2 linked regions of the Pelodiscus sinensis genome follow. The protein of the gene in region 2 purifies or fractionates together with the protein of the main gene of each other region. This does not show direct contact. Links are inferred from orthologs where the notes say so. Each region holds a gene or a part of one and is shown on either strand. Other genes may lie near its edges.

Evidence for each region.
Region 1: the proteins of SYMPK (region 2) and CPEB1 purify together in Homo sapiens (affinity purification with mass spectrometry; 3 studies listed by BioGRID and IntAct, counting the BioPlex papers as one, with this or other methods). This does not show direct contact. The link is inferred for Pelodiscus sinensis from reciprocal best matches to the Homo sapiens genes SYMPK and CPEB1.

What each region holds. Positions count from the first base shown.
Region 1 is NC_134724.1:36,949,692-36,961,835, reverse strand, and holds the start of CPEB1 (cytoplasmic polyadenylation element-binding protein 1), read left to right. Parts: upstream 1-4,754; 5' UTR 4,755-4,868; coding exon 4,869-4,883; intron 4,884-5,063; exon of another isoform or gene 5,064-5,196; intron 5,197-12,144.
Region 2 is NW_027465849.1:6,376,381-6,388,524, reverse strand, and holds the start of SYMPK (symplekin), read left to right. Parts: upstream 1-4,923; 5' UTR 4,924-5,070; intron 5,071-5,788; exon of another isoform or gene 5,789-5,791; 5' UTR 5,792-5,910; coding exon 5,911-6,018; intron 6,019-7,062; coding exon 7,063-7,128; intron 7,129-7,379; coding exon 7,380-7,433; intron 7,434-7,908; coding exon 7,909-7,982; intron 7,983-8,459; coding exon 8,460-8,586; intron 8,587-9,099; coding exon 9,100-9,349; intron 9,350-9,488; coding exon 9,489-9,659; intron 9,660-10,148; coding exon 10,149-10,388; intron 10,389-11,594; coding exon 11,595-11,749; intron 11,750-12,118; coding exon 12,119-12,144. UniProt on the Homo sapiens protein: Scaffold protein that functions as a component of a multimolecular complex involved in histone mRNA 3'-end processing. Specific component of the tight junction (TJ) plaque, but might not be an exclusively junctional component. May have a house-keeping rule.

The sequences.
Region 1 (12,144 bases), on a different chromosome or scaffold from region 2:
CCAATGCGGAATGACCCTCGCTGGTAACAATGCACACCCCTGAGGCTTACTTCCAGCCTCCATCTGTCCTGCTCCAACTTCCAGCCTTGGAGCTTGTTAGGCCTTTGCATGGCCAACAAGCCCATTCGTAAACAGCTGTTCCCCACCTGGGTACTTAGAGACTGTGATCAAGTCACCCCATAACTGCCCTTGTGTTAAGCTCAATAGGCTGCGCTGCTGGAGTGGTGGGTGAAGAGCAGGTTTTTCCAACCCCTAATCTTTCTCATGGCTCTTCTTTGGACCCTCTCCAATTATTCAGCCTCCTTGAATCGTGGGCACAGGATTCCAGCTCCTGTCACACCAGGGCCAAACCCAAAAGTAAAATAACCTCTCCGCCCCAATGCAAATTTCCCATGTATGCCCCCAAGGATCACCCTTTAGGCTGGCAGCTCATGTTGACCTGGAAATCTTTTTCAGAGTCGTTGCTTCCTAGAATAGAATCTCCCAGCTGGTAAGCGTGGGCGCCGACTTATTTTTGTTCCTAGATGGATACCTTTATGATTGTGTCTCTTAAAATGCACATTGTTTGCTTGCCTACCCTTGTGATCCAGCTCTCTGCCCTCTGTGTTATCGACCAGGCCCGGACAGCAAATGGTATTAGGGATGATTTAATCATAGAATCACGGAACACTAGAACTGGAAGGGACCTTGAGAGGTCATCGAGTCCAGTCCCCTGCCCTCATGGCAGGACCCAGCACTGTCTAGACCACCCCTGACAGGTGTCTGTCTAAGCTGCTCTTAAATATCTCCAGCAATGGAGATTCCAGAACTTCCCCTGGGCAATTTATTCCAGTGTTTGACCACCCTGACAGGTAGGAAGTTTTTCCTAATGTCCAGTCTAAACCTCCCTGGCTGCAGTTTAAGCCCATTGCTTCTTGTCCTGTCCTCAGAGGCCAAGGAGAACAATTTGTCTCCCTCTTCCTTGAGACACCCTTTTAGATACTTGAAAACCACTATCATGTCTCCTCTCAGTCTTCTCCTTTCCAAACTAAACAAGCCCGATTCTTTCAATCTTTAGTCTTTCCTTCATAGCTCATGTTCTCTAAACCTTTCATCATTCTTGCTGAAACAAAATACAGGACGATATAGCACTTTAAAGACTAACAAGATGGTTTATTAGATGATGAGCTTTCGTGGGCCAGACCCACTTCCTCAGATCAAATTGTGGAAGAAAACTGGCACAACCATATATACCAAAGAGATACAATAAAAAAATGTGACCACATATAAAATTGACAAATCAGATTTTAGAACAGAGGGGGGGTGAGGGAGTCCTGTCTTTTGTTTCAGCAAGACCCGACTAACATGGCTACATCTCTATTACTTTTCATCATTCTTGTTGCTTTTCTCTGGACTTTCTCCTAGGCTATGGCTACACTGGCGCGATCTTGTGCCAGAGATATGCAAATGAGGCTGTGTGGAATATCACCAAGCCTCATTTGCATACCTAATGCGCCACTATTTTTGCAGAAGAGGCTCTTGCACTAGAAGGCTCTGTCTACACTGCCCCTTCTTGTGCAAGAAAAACCCTCTTGCGCAATGCCGCTACATTGATTATTTTCAGGAATAACGGCATTGCGCAAGAGGGTTTTTCTTGTGCAAGAAGGGGCAGTGTAGACAGCTCCTTCTGGCGCAAGAGCCTCTTCTGCAAAAATGGCAGCTCATTAGGTATGCAAATGAGGCTCAGCAATATTCCACGCTTAGCCTCATTTTCATACTTCCAGCGCAACAACCCGCCAGTGTAGACATAGCCCTAATGTTTTCTTCCAGGTCATTAACAAAAGTATTAAATAGTGTAGGGCCAAGAACCAATCCCCACTAGAAACTCCTTTGCTCCATGACGACTCCCTGTGTGTAGTTCCATTATGACACCTGGCCATTAGCCCCATTTTAATCCATGGCTGTGTGCCATGTCCATGCTGTATCATTTTCTAGTTTTAATCATCAAAATGTTGTGCAGTACACAGACAAATGCCTTACCGGAGTCTCATCACAACACGACACCCTTCTCAAATTTGTCATCTCTAAAAAATATCAAGTTAGTTTGACAAGTTCTATGTCCATAAGCCATGTTTATTGGCATTAATCGTATTATCCGCCTTTAATTCTTTGAGTCATGTATTAACTGGTTCATTATCTTCCCCATGAGCAGCCAATATTATCTAGTGTGTCCCATTTACCCTGTTAAATATTGGCACGACATTCCCTTTCTTCCAAAAGCCATGATAAGGGCACGGCTGCTGAGCCAGCTCTTTTAAAACTCTTGGCTGCCTGTTATCCAGATGACCTGATTTAAAATGTCCAGTTTTGGTAGCGGCGGTTTAACATCTCCTGTGTTACTACTCCAGTGGAAAGTGTCAGCATAATCTGGCCTCTGCCATTTGATACTGAGTAGAAATATTATTGATCACTTCTGCCTTGCTGCATTATTATTGATAACTCCCCCTTTCCAGCCAGTAATCTGTGCTAGGAATCCCTTTTGTTCCTGAGAACTTTAAAATCCCCTTTTTATTGCCCTTGCTGGGCACAGATTTCTCCTTTGAGCCAGTCTGTGCCAGTGTGGCATACATTCTGATGAAGCCTTCAGTTCTTGCTTTCCAGCATCTATGTCTCCATTACCTTCTCTCTTCCTCCCCACCCCACACTCCAGCTGATCAGGGTGCAGAGAGCACCTTGAAAACCTGAACCAAGTGAAACTGATGCCTTGAAATCTGCCTAGGGGACAAATCCAGCTCAGAGCTGTGAAGTGCCTTTGGGTCCCTGTGGGCTAGCACCCCTCCCCCCCTAGACACCGAATGTCACCATTGTTGACTACTTCACCAATGGCAAAGGCATGGCAGAAAGGCGAGGAAGGTTGATAACATGAAGATCTGCTTAATCTCCTGTGCATGTCATCTCTGCCACCCTGGGGAAATCAAGGGCAAGAAGCCCAGTGGGATGCGTGGTATCTGCCCAAGACGGGTGTGGGGTCCCGGTGAGGAAGAGCAGAGTGCATGGAGACCAGAGAGCCTGCAGGCAAAACTGTAATTTGAGCATCTGCACAAACTACATGGGCACCATCTCAGGGGCAGAGCTTATTTCAGGGGCAGAGCTTGGAAAGGCACCTCAATTGGCCCGACTGTACCATTCTCCTGACAGACAGGTCTGGCTCATCCTAAGAATGTTTTCCTAAATTGGCTAGCGGCTGTAGCAAAACTAGGAGGACTAGTGTGCCAATGGCCTTTTCAGCCTCATGTTCCACAGCTCTGCACCTGGGCCTATTGAATGCCTGCCTATGCTGTTCTTGATATTGCTACCACCTGCGTTAGCAGCCCGGGGACACTTTAAAGCAGCCACTGTCCTTACAATCGGAATGGCTTGTATCAGGCATCTCCATTTGGCCCAGACAGACACAAATATTTCCATCACACCAGACAAGAATAATCAGTTAATTAACACAGCCAATGCACAAACACACCAGAGCACGGTCTTATAACCTGGGCTCTCTCCTCCTGCAGAGTTATGAAGGCTGTGCCAGATTCTCAGCTGCTGTGAATTAGCATTAGCTCCAGTGATGTCGATTCCAGCTGAGATCCAGATCCTCGGAGTAATTTGATGCACGATTACCCCCAATGGGCTTGTTCAGCTACTTTTGTGCGTCAGGCCAGGGGGAGGGGAGAGAGAGAGAAGTCAATGCTTGCAGAGAGACACAGGCTGGGTTTTGAACACTGAACAGGTCATTTTCCCTGAAACTTAAAAATAGGTCTACAGGACACCCCCCTGTTGGAACACCTACATCGCTCAGCCATGTGAAACCCCCCCTGTCCTGCCAGCCCTGAGCAGCAGTTTTACTGACTCCACCGGTGTAGCAGTGCTACCTGCACATGACGACTGCTGCCACCCACGGTTGCGACTGATTCTGTGGACTGAAGCTCTCCCATTGCACAACAGCAGCTCACTAAAGTGCTACAGACACACATGAAAAAACCAGCCCTGTAGTCACTGAGGGCTGAGTCCGGCTTGGGGGCCTCTGGCCCCTGTCCGCTCAGTGCTGCTAAAGAGAAGAGCAGCTCCCTGCAATGAGGCTGGAGGGCTGTTGTCAAAACGGCCCGTGGCCTGAAAACCACGTGTGGATTTCTAAGGGCAGCATGCACATTGCCAGCAGCCAGTGCCTCGCTCAGCCATGCATCTGGCTGCTCCCATAGCCCAACCCCAGGGGGACTGGATCAGAGAAGGTCATGCTTGGAGACACGTGCCCAGCTCTAACCACTAGACCCCACTCCCCACCTGCAGGGGAGGGGGGACAAGCACAGAGCTGGCCTCCCCCACTCTAACCACTACACCCCCCTCCCGCAGGGGAAGGCAGCAAGCACAGAACCCAGGCCTCATTACTCTAACCACTAGACCCCACTCCCCACCTGCAGGGGGGCCAAGCACAGACCTAGGCTCCCCCCTCACTCTAACCACTAGACCCTCCCCCCTCCCGCAGGGGGAGGCAGCAAGCACAGAACCCAGGCCTCATTACTCTAACCACTAGACCCCACTCCCCACCTGGGGGGGGGGGGGGGGGGGGGGGGGGGGGGGGGGCGCGAGCACCAGCCCCTCGTGCCGGGCCAGGCGCCGCGCAGCAGCCCGAGCACGCGGCGCGCCCTTTAACAGCCTTAGGGAGCGTCTGCAAAGAGCGCGGGGCCGGGAGGGCGCAGCGGGCGCGGCGGGGTGGGCGGGGCGGCCGGCCCCGCCCTTTGGCGACGCCCCCTGGCCCCGGGCGGCGGGCGGCTATAAAAGCCTGCGGGGCGCCGCGCCGCCCGTTGCTGCTGGTGCGAGCCCGACCCGCTGCGCCCACCGGCCCCATGGCCTTCCCCCTGGTGAGTGCGCCGGGCGGGGCGGGGCCGGCGGCACGTGTCGGGCGCTGCGGGACCGCGTGCTGGCCCGGGCGGGGGCGGGGCGCGAGGCGCCTCGTGACGGGGGGGGCGCTGCCGGACCCGCCGCGCGGGGCTCGCGCTCGGCCGCGCGCCTCCCTCCGACCCCCCCCTCGCGCGCGGCCGGCAGGTGCTGGCGGGCGGGGCCGCGGGACGCTCGGCCCCTTTCAGGCGGGTCCCCGCAGCGCCCGCCGGCCGGGCCGCCCCTCACGCGGCTTCGCACGTTCCCGAGCCGCCGGCTCCGCGCCCCGGCCGCCAGGTGAGGGGGGGCCCCGGCGAGCGTCCGGGCTGCTGCCCTGAGGCGGGGGGGGGGCAGCGCGTGTCGGTCCCGCCCTGGCCCCGGGGTGGGCGGGCCCCCCCTTGGCACAGCCCCCCCTTTCCGCTGGGCCCCCGCGCCAGGCCGCTCTGCATGGCCATTGGGGCAGCTGCCCCGGGGCCCCTAAAGCCGCGTTGCGGGGGGGCCTGGCAGCAGCTCCCCGCCCTGGGCCCCTGCACGTCTGGGTCTTGCTGCCTGGCTCCTGGCTGGGAGGCACTAGCTCAGCCTTGCACTGGTGCGCAGGGTCCCGGTGTCCCGCCTGTGCCCGTGCCAGCGATGGCGTGTGGGGCAGATAGAGGCTGCTCATCTTCCCGGCTCTTGTCTCCAGCACGGAGTTTGTGCAGGTGGGCCAAAAGCAGTTGAAGGCTGAGTTGTGATTGGCTGCTTAACTGGCAGTGGGGTAGGGAAGTGGCTAGGTGGCATGAAAATGTCCCCTACTTGTGACCTTCCTTAGGTGCTGCTTCAGTAAACTGCCCATTTCTGATCCCCACGCTACTGATGAGGCATGAAATGCCTAACAACCTTGAGAATTAAATTATCATTTCGTGTCTGGTTTAACCCCCTCGTTGTGATGAATGGGGCTCTTCAGACCTCTGGTGGCTATTGTTGCAGTCTGCCTGAAGAACTGTGCAGATGTTTCTACAGCTGTTATACTTGCTTTTTGATGCTTTGCTTGCAACCATCACATCTAGCCATGCCCAGCAACAGCTAGGGAGCAGCTTCAGTGATGTGCCAGTGTGCTGTACTGCTGCGAACTGAATCCTAACTTGTCGGCGCTCCTCTGCTTTGGTGAATGGTGCTGCAGAGGAACCACAGGTGTCCGTGATCCCCAGCACTTGTACCTATGCTGCACACAGGAACTTGCCAGCCATTTTTCAGCTACCTGATTGCTGCCTAGTTGTCTGTGGTGATGCAATATAGCACTCTAATTATAGCACTGCTTATTTGTATTAGATAAGGTGGATAACTTAAGGCATTAGATGACACTGGGAGTTTTGTCTGAAGTGGCTGTAATGCCATAATGCAGCGTTTAACAATAGCAGAGGGTGTTATCTTTCCCTAGAGAAGAACACTGAGTTAGTAGTGATAGTCCATAATGGGATGGGTCAGATGCCTGCTGCAGCAGCTGGAGAGACTCTCAGACTAGGACAAATAAATGTCTTTTTACATCCCAACTAGCTACCCTCTCTTGGGGAGGTGGATTGCCTGCCCTATGCCAATAGATGGGTTTAGGCTGGCGCAGCTGTAATGCTTTAGGCGCAAACAAGCCCCTGGCTGTGAAGGAATATCTTCCATTTCTGTAGGAAGTACCAGCACTACGGTGCACAGTGCTGTAGCTGTCCTGCTGTCGTGTCTGCTGGGTAGTTAGGGCTGGAAGCGCTGGAGGGGAGCTTCAGAGGCCTCAACTTGACTTGGTTCCAGTGGGTGTCCGCTCTTAGAACTACTTCCTCTTTGCTACCACCGCTGGGGGCTACCCTACCAAATCAGGCCGATATAGCAGTGTTGCACAGGGGTGTCTTTGAAACTGTCGTCCTTGAGATGTGGTCAAGATGACCTGGTGTAGACCTTGCTGGGCTGAAAAGTGTTCTTCTATCAACCAGTTGCTGCCTCTGAGGGAACTTTAAGGCTGTAATAAGCATCTATGCTGCAGTGAAATAGCTACTACCGTGGCATTTCCTGAGCCAGTGGTTCTCAACTGGGGGTATGCAGAGATCTTTCAGGAGGTAGTTTAATAAAGAGAAATGCAAAGTGCTCCACTTAGGAAGGAACAATCAGTTCCATACATACAAGATGGGAAGCGACAGTTTAGGAAGGAGCATGGCGGAAAGGGATCTAGGGGTCATAGTGGACCACAAGTTGAATATGAGTCAACAGTGTGGTGCTGCTGCAAAAAAAGCAAATATGATTCTAGGTTGTATCAACAGGTGTGTTGTAAGCAAAACTCGTGAAGTCATTCTGCTGCTCTATTCTGCACTAGTTAGGCCTCAGCTGGAGTACTGTGTCCAGTTCTGGGCGCCACATTTCAAGAAAGATGTGGAGAAATTGGAAAGGGTACAGAGAAGAGCGACAAGAATGATTAAAGGTCTAGAGAACATGACCTATGAAGCCAGGCTTCATGAACTGGGCTTGTTTAGTTTGGAAAAAAGAAGATTAAGGGGGGACATGATAGCGGTTTTCAAATATCTAAAAGGGTGTCACAAGGAGGAAGGAGAAAATTTGTTCCTCTTGGTTTCTGAGGACAGGACAAGGAGTAATGGGCTTAAAGTGCAGCAAGGGAGGTTTAAATTGGACATTAGGAAAAAATTCCTAACTGTCAGGGTGGTCAAATATTGGAATAAATTGCCAAGGGAGGTGGTGGAATCTCCCTCTCTGGAGATATTTAAGAACAGGTTAGATAGACATCTGTCAGGGATGGTGTAGACAGAGCTTGGTCCTGCCTTGAGGGCGGGGGGCTAGATTCGATGACCTCTCGAGGTCCCTTCCAGTCCTATGATTCTATTAAATGTTTAGCTATATGCCTCATTTTACCTCAGGCTACATAAAAAGCATGGGCAAGGTAAGTGCAAACTTGAATTTCATACAGCCAGTGACTTGTTTATATTGATTTGTATGCTGTGATATTTTTGTCTCGCTTTTAAAAGTAAGCAGCTCTTACGTGAGGTGAGACTTGGGGTATACAAGACAAATCAGACTCCTGAAAGGGGACCAATAATTTGGAAAGGTCAAGACACTGCCCTGAGGTATCCTGGCCATGATCTCTCCTGTGGCTGCTTTCAACTTCAGCTTCTTCCTAGATTTCTCTTAAATTAGTAACATTGGACAAATTTGTTTCCTTTTCCTGATCTGTTCTGCTCCTCATCACAACTTACCAAACCTGTTTCCTTGCATCTGGCTCTCTTTGAAGCCACCTAGCACCTCCTTGCACTTCCTTTCAAAGTGGCCTGTAGTCTAAGGGTTCTTCCTTAGGTATCTTAGATACCTGTATCAAGGAAATCCTAGGTCTCAAAAATCCTGAGGAATGTTAAATGCCAATTATTGTAAGTTTCCATCAAACAAAACATGCAGATTTGTTATGCCCAACTAGCTGTGAGGTTGGATTGAACCTGGCTTAGAGGCGGTCTTCCAGAGCTGCTGTGGATAGGCAGTTCTAGTCTCCCCCAATCAGTAATGGTCAGAGGGGTTCAGCATCTTGCTAGCTGTCTACCGTGGCTTCTTGGCTAACAGACAAGATTGAACTGTGCAATAAGTGCATCCTGATGCTGACAGAAGTCTCTTCTGGCCTATCTCTGCTGTCCTAGGAAATGGCATTGAGCACTTGGTTAGAGCAACTGAAAATGGGTGTCAAATGAAAGAGCAAGTTTGTGCTTGGGTGTGAATGTAGAATTTCAAGCCTGCTCAATCCCATAACAGGTATGGGAATTGTTCATAGAGATCAAGGGTGGAGTCTGGTCTTCATGGAATAATTGAACTTGGTTAGTATTTACTATCCTGCTTAACTAGTAGGGAAGTTCCTTCCACTATCCTGCTCTTCAGCCACTTTTTATTGCAGTCCCTTTTCTCTCTCCACCCTCCTGTGTGCCTCTTTGCCCTCTAGTCTGTTGCTGCCTTGCAGCAATTCCCAGTCCTTGGTCTCCAGGGCTTCTGCCCCACCCTTCTCCATTCTAGCTGCTAAGAGGTGAAAGGGGGAACCACCTAGAGGCCATTCTGTGAAGAGAGGGGTGATCAGGAAACAGAGCACTGTGGACAGGTCTGCCCTTCTGCAGCGCAGCTGTGTCTAGGCAGCATTACCTGAAGACTGCCCTAGGCAGGTGCTTGATCAGCCTCCGGCAGAGGTGGCTGGAGAAGCTCTCCTGTGGACAGAGCACTTGCTGCTCGGGGGGGGGGGGGGGGGCTGTGGCTCAGGGCTGTGGACTTGTCATCCCACCAAGCAGTGTAATTCTACAGCTATAGGGCTGCAGTGGACCACGCTTAGGTGACTTAGACATGTTACTGGAGCTGTGGAAATGAGGGATGTAAAATCCTGTCTAATTAACCAGTTAAATGTTAAGTTTAACTGGCAGGGGTGGGCAGCAGGCTCCAGTGGTCCCTGCGCCACAGGCAGGGGCTGCTCCAGAATGGCTGTTTCTGACCCCATGCTGAGCAGCCAGCTCCCAGCTTGCAAGGGCTGGGAGTCTGCCCCACAGGAAGTGGCCTCGTACTTGGCTGCCAGCTCCCAGCCTGCGTGAGCTGGGAGCCGGCAGCCCTGTGGGGCTGGAGCAGCCTCCTGCCTGCTCCCCGGTAACACTAACTGTTACCCATTCACATCCTTAATGGAAACTTTCATGACATTTGAGTGCAGGGGGAGTGAACTGGGTCAGACTGCTGCTTACTGACTCTAACTAGGTTAACAGGGTCAGTATTAATTGCCTGTTGCAGGGCTGGTCACTTGATCGTGCACTTGACTCCCTTCCTTTGGCAAGAATTAACTTGAGACCAGAGCAGCTGAAGCCAGTATGGCTCTTCCTTCTGTCTGTGCACTAGCATGACAATATTGATGCTGTCAGGAATGTGCTGTGCACATCATTCCACAACGTGTATAGCTGTGGCCTTGCTTGCGGGTGCTAACGAGCCTGGGTTGCTAAAAGAGGCCTTAACACACACAGCACTGGGTAGCACCAAAATGGCAGAAGCTGGTATTGGAGCTGGCATCCATAAAACCATCATTTGGTTATTGAGGTTCATATCTCTCGCACCTGAGCAGGTATCTGGTTCTCTTTAATCTGTTCCCTTAATAGGGTCTCAGCAATTGTTCTCAGTGGGGACTTGGTTTGATGGATTTCAATGCTACAGTGCCAGATCCTGCAGGAATTGAATTACAAGCTCTGTTGGGAGGAAGATGGTGCTTTTGTAGTCATGACGATTGTATGTGAGGCTCCATTTAAACACCTTAAAGTTTGTGGTAGGAATTCAAGGAGGCTAAAGGAAAACTCTTAAGGAGTGCCTTTTGTGTGTGTCAGTTTTCTGTCATAGTGCAGTGTCTGCAGAGAATCCCCATAATAAGACTGAGTACTCTTCTCAGCTGGTCAGGGCTAAAGTTGTGTTCCAATCTTGTAGTTTCAACACTGAGCTAGAACCCCAGGGGAAGTGAAGCTGGCAGTCTGATTGGAAACACTTTCTTCCATAACCTCATTGGGGATTTGGCTGAACTTGCTCTGGTTCCCTTGAAAAATACGGCAGCATTAAGGGCTGAATAGTTTTACCCCTCCACACCTTCAAAACTGTACACTGCTCTGTCACCTACCCATCTGAATGACAAGGCTGGAAAAGTTGTTGGTGATTGGAGGAAGGTCTTGTTAGATGAACACTAGTGTCTAGGTCCCCTGGTTATGTAACACCGAAATGAGAATAGTTCTCTCAACGACTAAATGTTGTCTTGCTGCTTGCTCCCTGACATTCTGCATCTGAAAACAGCCTGGTGCCAGTCAGAACTGTGCACAGGATAGTCCATTTTGCAAAGGACTCTGAGAGCTTGGTATTTTGTAGTGTTCTAATTTACAAAGCTGAGAAATTCTCAAGAAAAATCTGGAAACAGCACTTTGGGCTGATCAAAATGTTTTGTTCTGATGTGCCGTTTTGGTTGTCAGTCTTAGGGTTTGACTTTTTATTAACGCAATACAAAATTCCAAAGCAAATGGTTTCAAAACAAAGCCATAACACTTTGCTCTAAAAATAGCAAATGGGATGTTTTGACATCAGAACGCTTTCCATTTTTTCTAAGCAAAACTTTGGTGAAATGAAGACTTGCATGAAGCAATTCAATGCTTAAGCTGTGTTCTGGCAGAAAATGCTTCTGAAGTTGTCCTGACCAGCTGTTGGCAGCCAAAGCACTTTCTAGAGGCCTGTCGACACTAGATTGCAAGATTTCTATCACCAGTTTGGTTCCTCTCACATAAGACACCTGGCATCTCAGTGCTCCTGTGTGGCATTGGACAAGCCCGAAGATGTGTCCTATACTAACATTTTTTGCTGGCTAGGACTGGATTTGGAGGCAGGTGACTGTCTGGGGTACCGGGCTTGACGGGTACTGGGTTTGAGGTGCTTCTTATTGTTGGTGACAAGGGGAAAATCAATGTGTGAAGTAAGATGTTTTGCTTATTCGAGAAGTGGATGCGTTTTCTTCAGATCTCCTTGTGTGTTGTTCTCCGTGCCCTTGTCCGTTTAAAAGGGGCATCTCTGCTGCTGCTTCAGTTCGTGAGGGCAAAGATGAGACGTTATCTTTGGACTGAAGGACTAGGATTAACACTTGAATCCTACTTCAGCACTAATAGTGGTCCCCCTATGGTTGGTGTACAGATCAGTTTCTTGATGATACATTTCAGTTGCTCTAAAAACAGGTTTGGAGGTAGCCATTTTTCATAGCCATTGAAGACCCAGCTAAATCATATTTACATATCTAGCATGCAAATTTGTCCTGTATGAGAGAAATCACGGGTGCAGATTGTGCGTCAGCCATGAAATGGGGGCTACCTATGGAATACAAAATAAGGTATTGAAAATTTTAACAAATGGTGTGTGTGGGGGGGGGGGGGGAACACTCCTTGCCTTGGCACCATTAGGTTTAGAGCCATCTCTGAGTGCAGCTAAAGCAGCAAACGGCTTGTGTGCATGCAGCTACCCCAGTATAAGAGTGTGTGTGTGACACAGCTTATTCCAGCTGGGGAAGGGAAATCAGCTGTATCAGTGAAAGGCATCTGCACCTAAAACATCGCACCCTTACTTACACTGGCATAGCTCTTGCATTGTAAATTAGGTGTTGGATTCTGAAACAGGGCTTACGCTGCCGGCTCATCCAGAGGAGTTCTCCACGGCACAGCAATGATGGCGCTGAATCCCGGTTAGCTCCAGTGGGAA
Region 2 (12,144 bases):
GGGGGGTGCAGGGGCTGCTTACACAGGGACCCCTCACCCGGCGCTGAGATGCAGCTGCCTCTGGGGGGGGGGCGCAGGGGCTGCTTACACAGGGACCCCTCACCCGGCGCTGAGATGCAGCTGCCTCTGGGGGGGGCGCAGGGGCTGCTTACACAGGGACCCCTCACCCGGCGCTGAGATGCAGCTGCCTCTGGGGGGGTGCAGGGGCTGCTTACACAGGGACCCCTCACCCGGCGCTGAGATGCAGCTGCCTCTGGGGGGGTGCAGGGGCTGCTTACACAGGGACCCCTCACCCGGCGCTGAGATGCAGCTGCCTCTGGGGGGGTGCAGGGGCTGCTTACACAGGGACCCCTCACCCGGCGCTGAGATGCAGCTGCCTCTGGGGGGGTGCAGGGGCTGCTTACACAGGGACCCCTCACCCGGCACTGAGATGCAGCCTCCTTTGGAATGAAGTGAAGCAGTTATTTAAAAGATGCAGCAACATCACACTGCTGGTTGGGACCGAAAGCGGAAGAGGGGCCATATCCCAGCTCACAATCCCCTCTGCTTTTGTATCTCCCCACACACAGCTCTGCCCGTGCCCCTCACTCCTGACCCGCAGTCCCCTGCCAGCCCAGCCCTGGGTTCCCCCAGACCTGGTGGTGCCCCTCACTCCCAACCTGCAGCCCCTGCTATCCTGACCCTGGGTTCCTTGGCAAACATGAGGGGCAGGGTGTGGGGCTGGTAATGTCGCTCGCTTTTCCCCACTGCCACTGCCCCAGTCTGAACCCAGCGCGGGCCCCCTGCCCTGGCCAATGTGTCTCCCCTTCCCCCTCTCCCATGCCCTCTCCTGCCTGTTTACCTGCCTTTGGCTTCATCTCTCCCCAAAGGCTCCTGTTACCTGCTGGTTCCCCGGTGCCCCGGCCGTTGTCAGGAGAACGCTTGATCCGGCCGCTGGTTTTGGGATTAAGGCACCAGAGCAAGCACAAAAGAGCCAGCGAGCCGAGGGGCCACAATTAACTAATTACCTGCTCGGCCTTTAATCCCCGGCGGGGAGCGCGTAACCCAATCGCACCCCCTTATACAACGAGGCTCCTGAGGGACTGGCTGAGCCAGGCACGACCACCCACCCCCAGCACCTCAGCCCCTCCGCAGGGAGACGAGACCGTGGAGCGCAGCAGGCTCCTTAATCCAGCAGATAAAGGCAGAGCAAGATTGGAGGCTGGGAGCTGAAACGAGAGACAGTCAGGCTAGAAATCAAGTGCCAATTTTTCAAAAGGAGGGGAATTAACCATTGGACTGAACCCAGAATTCCTGGCTTCCAGCCCCCCTGCTCTAACCACTGGGCCTCACTCCCCTCCCAGAGCTGGGAATAGAACTCAGGAGTCCCGGTACCTAGTCCTGCTGCTCTAACCACTGGGACTCACTCCCCTCCCAGAGCTGGGAATAGAACTCAGGAGTCCTGGTACCTAGCCCTGCTGCTCTAACCACTAGACTCCCCTCCCAGTAAAACTCAGGAGTCCTGAACAGTGGGCTGGCAGCAAACAGCCTCTCAATTTTGGGGATGGATTGAATTCAGACGGGCTAAGCGAACTGCAAAGAAATGGGAAGGGGAGGATGGGGGGTGGAAGGAAGTGAAGTGGAAGGGGGCTGAGTGATGGCAAAGTGAGTGAGCATTGCCAGCAGATCTAGGGGAGCGATTATTCCCTTTTATTTGGCACTGGGGAGCCCACATCTGGAGTATTGCGGCCAATTCTGGGGGGCCCCGTACAGAAAGGACGTGGACGCATTGGAGAGAGTCCAGTGAAGGGTGACAAAAATGATTCGGGGGCTGGAGCACTTGACCTATGAGGAGAGGCGGAGGGACTGGGGCTTGTTTAGTCTGCAGAAGAGAAGAGTGAGGGGGGATTTGAGAGCAGCCTTCAACTTCCTGCAGGGAGGTACCAAAGAGGATGGAGAGAGGCTGTTCTCTGTGGTGGCAGATGGCAGAACAGGGAGCCATGGTCTCTAGTTGCAGGGAGGGCATGAGGGGTCGAGGTTGGATATTAGGGGAAACTATTTCTGTAGGAGGGTGGGGAAGAACTGGGGTGGGTTCCCTAGGGAGGGGGTGGAGTCTCCATCCCTAGAGGTGTTTAAGTCTCGGCTTGACAAAGCCCTGGCTGGGATAATTGGGTCGGCGTTGGTCCAGCTTTGGGCAGGTGTCTGGACTCGATGACTCCTGACGTCTCTGCCCACCCTAGGAGTCTGTGATTCTATGAATGGTGACATAAGGCGTAACACGGTAAAACAAAATAAAATCTCCCTTACGGCGCCATTTTTGTCACCTCTCAGCAGCCCATGCCCCAGTGACTCACCCTCACTAAAGACACAGCCTACTGAAAGATCACCACCTCGCACGAGAGATACTCTCTCTGCTGGAGACGCAACATCCTTATGACGAACTATGCAAGAAGATCGGATGGGGCGACGGAAGAACAGCTGACCTCAAGGGAACATACTCTCGCTTACATTCCTCAATCCACCCGACCAATCGGTCCATCTCGGCAGGAGAAGTTTGGCTATACTGATGACCCATGCACTGCTGCCCAGGCCAAAGATCCAGGCTGAAGTTGTGTTACCAGTAGCGCAATCCAGGGTCTCAATCGGTTACACCAAGAACCGGCTGCGTGCCAGCCCAGACAGAACACAAGTGAATCTCTTCCCTCAGTGCAGTTATGAGGCTGGAAGCCAAATTGACATCTGGAATGAGGTACCCCTTGCCCGGTGCGGGGTTCCTGCCTGTTTCGGAGTGATGCCTGCCTGTACTCTCTTTTGAGGTCCACATGTAGGGTTGCCCGGTGACCAGTTTTGTACCGAACAGTCCAGTATTTGAGCTTTCTGTTCGGGAAAAAAATTGAGAAACTATAATTGAGTAACTAGAACTGTCCAGTATTTTCTCAATCAGACGTGATGTAGATTGTGATGTAATGTCAAGTGTGTCCAATATTTTTGTTGAAACCATCTGGCAACCCTACCCACATGGAGAAAGTGAAAGGCAAAGCTAAGTGCCTTGGACTTCAGGGCTCTATTCCCAGCTCTGGTAGCGGAGTGTAGGGTTACCAGATGGGTTTCAAAAAAATACCAGACACGTGATCTCAGAATGGGAGGGGGAGGGCGACCGGCCGGGAGGGGAGTGGGGCTGGCTGGGGGAGATCAGAGAAGGAACCGGCCGGCGGAAAGCAGGGCTTGCTGGGAGGGGGTTGGAGGGAGCAGGGCTGGCTTGGGGAGAACCAGCCAGTGGGGAGTGGGGCTGCCCCGGGCGCACGCAGATCCTGTGGTGCTGCCCATCCCGCGCATGGTCCCGGCGCGGCACACGGGTAAGTCTGGCCCCAGGGATTCCATCCCACCCTGGCTCCACCCTCCCCTCCCCCCACTGTGTAGTTGTGTACTGCCTGGCTGGTCGACGCGCTCACGCAGCGTGACTCACGCAGTGCGAGTGTGTCGACCAGCCAGGCAGTACGCAGCTACGTACTGATACTCATTATAACAATAAAACGTAGGTAATTAGAAAATACCCAACATTTCTATGTCCGGTATTTTCTCAATTTGTTTCCCAGACAGAAAGTTCAAATACCAGACTGTCCGGTTCAAAACCGGACACCTGGCAACCCTAGGGTAGTGGGGTCTAGTGGGTTAGAGCAGGGAGGCTAGAAGCTAGGAATTCTGGGTTCTGTCCATGGTGTCTGGTTTTGAACCAGACAGTCCAGTATTTGAGCTTTCTGTTTGGGAAACAAATTGAGAAAATAGAAATGTCCAGTATTTTCTCAGTAAGACAAATGTAGATTGTGATGTCATGTCAAGTATGTCCAGTATTTTTGTTGAAACCATCTGGCAACCCTATCTGTCCAACGCTTAACACACTAGGAGTGAACCAATTCAACTTGGGGAACCAGCCCAGCTCCAAACTGTCACGCCTGCACTTGGCTATTTGATGGCTGAATACACCTGTCTGGTGTGAGCAAAACTGGCCCATGCAGAGAAACAGGACCCGGCATTGCATGACAGCTTCCTCTACCTCCCGGGATGTCTATACCCCACCACAGCTTTTCCGCGCTTGCTGGAATCGCTCGCCCCGATATCGGCAGAGAGGTTGCAAGCAATATGGAACAATGACGACAGGTTGAAGATACTGGACATCAGCAGACATGGCTTTGGTTTGGATTGGCTAAAGTCTGTTCAAATGTGTTTATATGCCCAATAGGATGTACCATTAAGAAAACGGCCTGGTATAAATTTACTTGAACTTCACGCTAAGTTGGCTCGACCTCGACAGGAGTTGTGCTCCAGACACAGGCAAAGGGGGGCATATTTGGGTGGGCATATGGCTAAGTGGGTGGGCCCTGGCTAGGGTTGCCAGGTGTCCAGTATTGAACCGGACAGTTCGGTAGGCGATTCTTAAAGGGGCCACGCGCTTGCTTTCTTTCTTTCTTTCTTTCTTTCTTTCTTTCTTTCGTTTTTTGTTGTGTTTGTTTATTTAACAACTCTTGGGTCCTTTTTTTTCGGAATTTTTTTCTGAAACCAGCTGAGGCCCACCCAGGCCAAAATGGGCATCGAACTCCTTTGGGCGGGCGCAGGAGGGGGAGGGTCCGGCGGGGGGGGGTGAAAGGTGTTGGGGGAGGGGAGGCTGCTGCCCCTGGGCGGGGGATGGGCAGATTGTGGGTGGGGTGAGGGTCTAGGGCCAAGGGGATCACTGGGAGGGGGCGGTGGGGTCAGAGGTCAAAGGTCATTGAGGGGAGGCTGAAGATGGGGTCAAAGGGCACAGAGGAGAGGCTCATGTGACCAGGGCTCTCGGGTCAAAGGGCACAGAGGAGAGGCAGGGGTCGGGGTCAAAGGGCAGGTGGGAGCTGTCCCATCCCCAGGCCGGCAGCACCGGGCGACGGACCAAGTTACCCAGCGACCCCCGCGCGGCGCCTTCGCGCGGCCAGAACTACAGGTCCCAGGGGGCTTTGCGGCGCGCGCCTGCGCAGTGCGCACCGCCCGGGCCGCGGGAAGATGGCGGCCGGCAGGGGGCCGCGCGCGACGTGAGGGGTCGCCGGGCGGGATAGCGAGCGGGTGAGGGGGGGGCCGCTGGCCCGGGCGGGGGCGTTGAGAGGGGGAGGGGCTGGCGATGCGGGCGGGCTCGGGAGGGGGGGCTGGCGAGGGGGGGGCCGCTGGCGATGCGGGGGGGGCTGGCGAGGGGGGAGGGGCTGGCGATGGGGGGGGCGAGGGGGGAGGGGCTGGCGATGCGGGGGGGCTCGGGAGGGGGGGCTGGCGAGGGGGGGCTCGGGGGGGGCTGGCGAGGGGGGGGCTGGCGAGGGGGGGGGAGGGGCTGGCGATGCGGGGGGGCTCGGGAGGGGGGGCTGGCGAGGGGGGAGGGGCTGGCGATGTGGGGGGGCTCGGGAGGGGGGGCTGGCGAGGGGGGAGGGGCTGGCGATGCGGGGGGCTCGGGAGGGGGGGCTGGCGAGGGGGGAGGGGCTGGCGATGCGGGGGGGCTCGGGAGGGGGGGCTGGCGAGGGGGGAGGGGCTGGCGATGCGGGGGGCTCGGGAGGGGGGAGGGGCTGGCGATGTGGGGGGGGTTGCTTTGGAGGCTGCAGGGGGCTGGCCCGGAGTGGTGGGATCTGGGGGGTGCAGGACGGGGGCTGGGGGCTGCTTGGCAGTGGGGTGAGCTGGGGTTCCCCTGGGGAAACGGGGTGAGGCCAGGGCGGGGCCTGGGGGGTCTGGCTGGAAGGGGCAGGAGGGGGGCGGGGCTGGGGACCACTCCCAGCAGGGTGCTGACCAGTCGCCTCGTTAGCAGCTGGAGGAGCCAGGCCGAGGGCCACCCGGAGCGGCCGGCGCGGCGCTGCCCTTCCACAGACCCGTTGGCAGGGGCCGTATCCGCGCTCGGGCTCCGGCCCCGTCCCTGCACCCGGAGCCATGGCCAGCGGCACAGGGGATGGCGGCAACGCCCGCTTGAGCATCGCCTCCCAGTTCTTCACCCAGGAGGAGGGCAGCGGCACGGACAGCATGACCACCTCGGAGAGGGTGCGTGGGGAGCAGGCAGGGAAGGCTGGCTCTCATCCGGCCATGTGTCACAGGCCCAGGGGTGGGGAAACGAGATACAGGGTCTTTCCCCTCCGCCGGCTCTGCTCCAGCCCCAGGGCGGGGGAGTACCTGGGACCCAAGTTCAGGAAAAGTTAGTCAGGTCACCTGCCTTGTCAGTTACAGTCCACTTTCCATGTGTATAGTGAAGGTCTAAATGTTGGGGCTACATGATGTGCTCCCCAGTGATCTCCCTGCAGTGCACCGCGTCTTTACAGGCTCTGGCTAGCTCTTGTGAGGCCGCATAGTCTGGGGAGAAGGCACCTGTCTGGGTCTTCACAGACCTGGCTTCCCCCCTGCCCCTGCTCTTCTGGGACCCTTTGGGCAGACCCCTTCCTCTCCCTGGGGCTGGCTCCCCTTCTGCCTGTCTTGTCTGTGCAGCTTTTATCCCAAGGCCACTGACGCTGGGTGGGGATGTGATCCGTTTCCTGGTATATTGCACCGGTGCAACCCTGGCGTGGGCTATTCCCCTCCCCCACGCCAACAGGGTATGGCGGCCTCCACGCTGGAGGGAAACTAGACTGGTGTTGGCAGAGCCCTGGATCGCTGAGGGGGTAGATTGGAAGCCCTTTGGGGCAGGGACTATCTCTTGCGATGTCTGTTCAGCGCCTGGTACAATGGGGCCCTGATCTCAGGGGCTCTAGGCACTACCATAGTGCTAGTGGGATGGGTGTCTGTCACCAGGATAGCCATCGGCATTTGCCATGTACCCCTCCCAAGCTACCGCGGGCCGCCCCCCTGTTCTTGCCAACTGCCCCCTGTCCCCACAGGCCGCCCCTCTGTTCCCACCAGAACTCCTGGCCTGGTTGCCATCTCTGCTTGTGCTGTCCTGTTGTGCTGCGTGAGCAGTTATCTCTGAACTGTCGTGAGCTCTCAGCCTCGCTTGGCCCTTGGGTGTGACCAGTTTGATCGTCTTGGGAGGGATTCCTTAGAGCCAAGCTGCCCTCGAGTGCCCTGGTGCTTCCTCACGGGCTCCTCTCTCTGCAGGTGGTGGATCTGTTAAACCAGGCTGCCTTGATCAGCAATGACTCTAAAATCACCATCCTCAAAAAGGTGAGCAAGAACGCTGCCCCCCCTCCCCGCAGGAATGGGATGACACCAGGCTGGGAGTGGAGGACGCTGGGAAAACAGAACCCACCATATGCCCCTGGCTCACTCCACCCTGCACAGAGCCCCTCATGTCACAGTGGGTGGGTCCGTGGGGCAGGGCACTCCATGGGGGGGTGGGCAGATGGGCAATGGCTGATGCTGCAAAACCTCTCCACTGGTTCAAGACTCACCTGCTGTCCCTGCTTTCCCCATAGGTCCAGGAGCTAATTATAAACAAGGACCCCACGCTGCTGGATAACTTCCTGGATGTGAGTAGCCGTGGGCGTGCCAGGGGCGCCTTTCCTGACTCTCCTTGTGCCCATGCCAAGGGCTGATGCCGTATCACTGGCACTGCCACCCCTTCGCTCAGCAGCCCCCTCCCCATGGCAGCTGAACGAGGCGGAGAATTCCTCTGACTTGCCGAGCAAAGGACACGACAGAACATCAGCTCCCTGCTCAGTGGGCCCACAGCTTGGGGGCTGAGGTGTGGGGGGCTGCCCAAAGCTGGAGCCCCAGATGCCCGTCAAGCCTGGGCAGTGTCCGACGTAGACCCGAGGAGTGTGAATATTCTCACCCGGGCCTAACCTAAAACTTTCCGCAGCCTCCGCCCTGCCTGCGTTTGGGGGCGGCCGAGCTGTGCCTCGTGTTCCCAGCCCCGCTCTGCCCTGCCCCCTCCTCTTGGCCAGCTCTGCTGCCTGCTGGGCAGCTGGGGCCAGCCCTGACCGCCTGCCTCTCCGGCTGCAGGAGATCATCGCCTTCCAGGCGGACAAATCCATCGAGGTGCGCAAGTTTGTCATCGGCTTCATCGAGGAGGCCTGGTAAGGACGGCTTGGCTGCTGCACCCTGGAGCCCCTGGCTGTAACCTCCCTTCCCACCGAGTAGATGGGAGCCTCGTCCAGCCAGCTGCCTCACTCCCCACAGGCTGCAGCAGCTGGGAGCGCTCCCACCCCACTCCCTGCGCTCGCTTATCTCCAGCTAAGGTCCGTGCTGTGAGCAGGCCGGGAGCGGGGCCGGTAGGTTACAGCTGGGCTGTGAAGAGCCAGGACTCCTGGTTCTGTTCCCAGCAGGGGGAGGGGAGTCCAGTGGTTAGGAGCCAGGACTCCTGGGTTCTGTGCCTTGATCTGCCTTTGACTCCCAGTGTGACCATGGCAAGTCGTTCCCCCCCACCCTGCCTCAGTTTCCCTGCCAGTACAAGAGGTAAGGGGTCCATGGAAGCCAGCTGCGCTGTTCCTGGGCTGCTCGCCTCGCCTCGCCTCGCGCTCTCCTCCCTGAGTTTGTCCTCTCCCCCGCCCCAGCAAACGGGACATTGAGCTCCTGCTGAAGCTCATCGCCAACTTGAACATGCTGCTGAAGGACGAGAACGTCAACGTGGTGAAAAAGGCCATCCTCGCCATGACCCAGCTCTACAAGGTGGCTCTGCAGGTGAGCACTCGTCCGCCAGCGCCAGCCGGTGCGGCCCCAGCCTCTCTCAGCAGGGGGCGCTGCAGGAGGAGCTCCCAGCTATTCCAGCCTCTCCCAGCAGGGGGCGCTGCAGGAGGAGCTCCCAGCTATTCCAGCCTCTCCCAGCAGGGGGTGCTGTTGTGGGGGAGGGAGAGAACTCCCAGGTATTCTAGCCTTAGCCAGCATCCCACAGCGCCCCCTGCTGGGAATCTCAGGAGCTATGGGGAGCTCCCCACTGGCCTCTTGCAGCAGGGAGAACTTGCTGTGGGGGAAAATGCTGGTTACTCCAGCCCTGGCCTCTCCCAGCAGGAGGCGCTGCAGGATTGGCTCTGGCAAGAGCTGCTCTCTCTGGAGAGGCTTCAGGGGGGAGCAGGGTGGGGGCACTAGCCGTGGGGGGAGCTCCTGGCTACTCCAGCCGTGGCTGCTCCCACAGCGGAGTGGTCCACACAGGGCAGCCCGCCTTGGTTCTCACCTTTCCCTTCTGGCTCCCGGCAGTGGATGGTGAAGTCCAGAGTCATCAACGACCTGCAGGAGTCCTGCTGGGAGATGGTGTCGGCCATGGCCAGCGACATCATCCTGCTGCTGGACTCGGACAACGACGGCATCCGCACCCACGCCATCAAATTCGTGGAGGGGCTGATCATCACGCTCTCGCCCCGCATGCCCGACTCGGACGTGCCCAAGCACCACAAGAACGACATCAGCCTGGAACGCATCCCCAAGGACCACCCCTACATCAAGCACGGTGAGTGGGGGGGCCCGCGGGGGCTGTCAGCACGTGGCTCTTCCTCCCCCCCCCCCCCCCCCCCGGCCCAAATGCCTTAACCACCCCCCTCGCGCGGCTTGCGGCCTGTGCCGTGACCCCTCCCACTCCTGCCTTGCAGACGCGCTGTGGGAGGAGGGCAAGGGGGCCCTGGAGCAGCTGCTGAAGTTCATGGTGCACCCGGCCATCTCCAGCATCAACCTCACGGCGGCGCTGGGCTCCCTGGCCAGCATCGCCCGCCAGCGGCCCATGTTCATGGCCGAGGTGATCCAGGCCTACGAGACGCTGCACGGTAAGTGCTGCCCCCCGGTTCCACCTCGGGGCCCCACTCCCTGACCAGAGCCGGGGTAGAACCCAGGAGTCCGGCCCCTCAGACTCCTTCCTCGCCCTGCACCCCACTCCCTGCTCGGAGGCGGGGATAGAACCCAGGAGTCCAGCTCCTCAGCCCCCTTCCTCGCCCTGCACCCCACTCCCTGCTCGGAGCCGGGGGTAGAACCCAGGAGTCCAGCTCCTCAGCCTCCTTCCTCGCCCTGCATCCCACTCCCTGCCCGGAGGCGGGGATAGAACCCAGGAGTCCGGCCCCTCAGCCCCCTTCCTTGCCCTGCATCCCACTCCCTGCTCGGAGCAGGGGGTAGAACCCTGGAGTCTGGCCCCTCCGCCCCTCCTGGCCCCTCCGCCCCTCCCTGCCCAGAGCCAGACCCCAGGCTTACCCCCAAGCCTCCCTCTCTACAGCGGGTCCCTTCCGCACACCTGACCCCCTTTCCGTGTCGCCCTCCCCCAGCCAACCTGCCGCCGACCCTGGCCAAGTCCCAGGTGAGCAGCGTGCGCAAGAACCTGAAGCTGCACTTGCTGAGCGTGCTCAAGCACCCCTCGTCCTTCGAGTTCCAGGCGCAGATCACCACGCTGCTGGTGGACCTGGGCACGCAGCAGGCCGAGATCGCCCGCAGCATGCCCAACCTGAAGGAGGCGCGCAAGCGCCCGCGGGACGACACAGATCCCTCCCTCAAGAAGATGAAGATAGGTGAGGGGTGGGGCGGGCCGGGCCTCACGCTGCTGAGAAGCCCCGTTTAGCAGCCACTGCTGCCAGAGGCAGAGGGTCGCTGAGAGCGCCCCGCCGCCCAGTGCAATGAGTTTGGCCCAGCTCTGAGGGCTGTGATTGAAGGAGCAGCTTAGTTACTCCAGCCTCTCCCAGCAGGGGGGCAGTGTGTGTGGGGGAGCTCCCAGCTACTCCAGTTCCAGGCTCTCCCAGAAGGGGGCGCTGTGGGGGGGGGGGCAGAGCTCTCAGCCACTCCAGTCCTAGCCTCTCCCAGCAGGGGGCGCTGTGGGGGGGGCAGAGCTCTCAGCCACTCCAGTCCTAGCCTCTCCCAGCAGGGGGCGCTGTGGGGGGGGCAGAGCTCTCAGCCACTCCAGTCCTAGCCTCTCCCAGCAGGGGGTGCTGTGGGGGGGCAGAGCTCTCAGCCACTCCAGTCCTAGCCTCTCCCAGCAGGGGGTGCTGTGGGGGGGCAGAGCTCTCAGCCACTCCAGTCCTAGCCTCTCCCAGCAGGGGGTGCTGTGGGAACGGGGCAGGAGCGGCCGGGGTGGGGAGCTCCCAGCCTCTCCCAGCAGGGGGCAGTGTGTGTGTGGGAGCTCCCAGCTACTCCAGTCCCAGGCTCTCCCAGAAGGGGGCGCTGTGGGGGGGCAGAGCTCTCAGCCACTGCAGTCCTAGCCTCTCCCAGCAGGGGGTGCTGTGGGGGGGGCAGAGCTCTCAGCCACTCCAGTCCTAGCCTCTCCCAGCAGGGGGCGCTGTGGGGGGGCAGAGCTCTCAGCCACTCCAGTCCTAGCCTCTCCCAGCAGGGGGCGCTGTGGGGACGGGGCAGGAGCGGCCAGGGGTGGGGAGCTCCCAGCCTCACCCAGCAGGGGGCGCTGTGGGGGCACGGGAGCCCCGGCATCCCAGACATCCCTGGATGTGGGCCCTTGGGTGGCAGACTGCGCAGTGAAGCTGGGGATCCCGGAGGCCAGAGGGTGCAGAAACCGGCTCGCCCTTAGAGCCGGTGTTTCTAGGGTAGTGAAATCCCTCCCTGTGCTGGGTAAGGCTGGCAGGGGGCAGAAGCTGCTTCCCCGCTGCTGGAGCTCTACCGGTGCAGCTCTGTGGGCACACGGCACTTGGCAGGGCCCGGCGGGGCTTGGGGGGCTGTGGCACCAGCCCTGGCAGTGCCCCTCCGCTCTAAGCCAGGGCTCCCCGGCACAGAGCCGTCCCTTGGGGAGGATGACGAGGACAAGGACCTGGAGCAAACGGCCGTGCCGCCGCCCAAGCCCTCCGTCCAGACGAGCCCCCTGTCGGACACGGACATCACGGCCGAGTTCCTGCAGCCCCTGCTGACGCCGGACAACGTCGCCAATCTGGTGGGTGCGGCCGGGCCCTGGCTCGGTGCTGACGGGTCCTAACCCCCGGGCATGGACACGCTGCCGGGGGAGGGGTGTGTTCGGCCCTCAGGCCTCGGGCAGGGGTTCCTGTTACCGCCCACAAGCTAACGAGCTGTTGGAGGGAGGGCTGGGGGGAGATCCAGGGGGTGCGCTGCCCTTACACTCAGTGCTCAGCAGGGGGCGCCCTGTGGGGTGGGCTCTAACCCGCTGTCCCAGGGCCGTGCTGGGGGGGGCGGGGCCTCAGCAGGCTGGGGAGGGGCAGCGCCAGAGGGACCCGTGCCCCCCCACCCCTCTTCCCGGATCTCCAGCCAGCTGCCTTGCTGCCATGTCCCGGCTCTCCTGCCCCAGGTGCTGATCAGCATGGTGTACCTGCC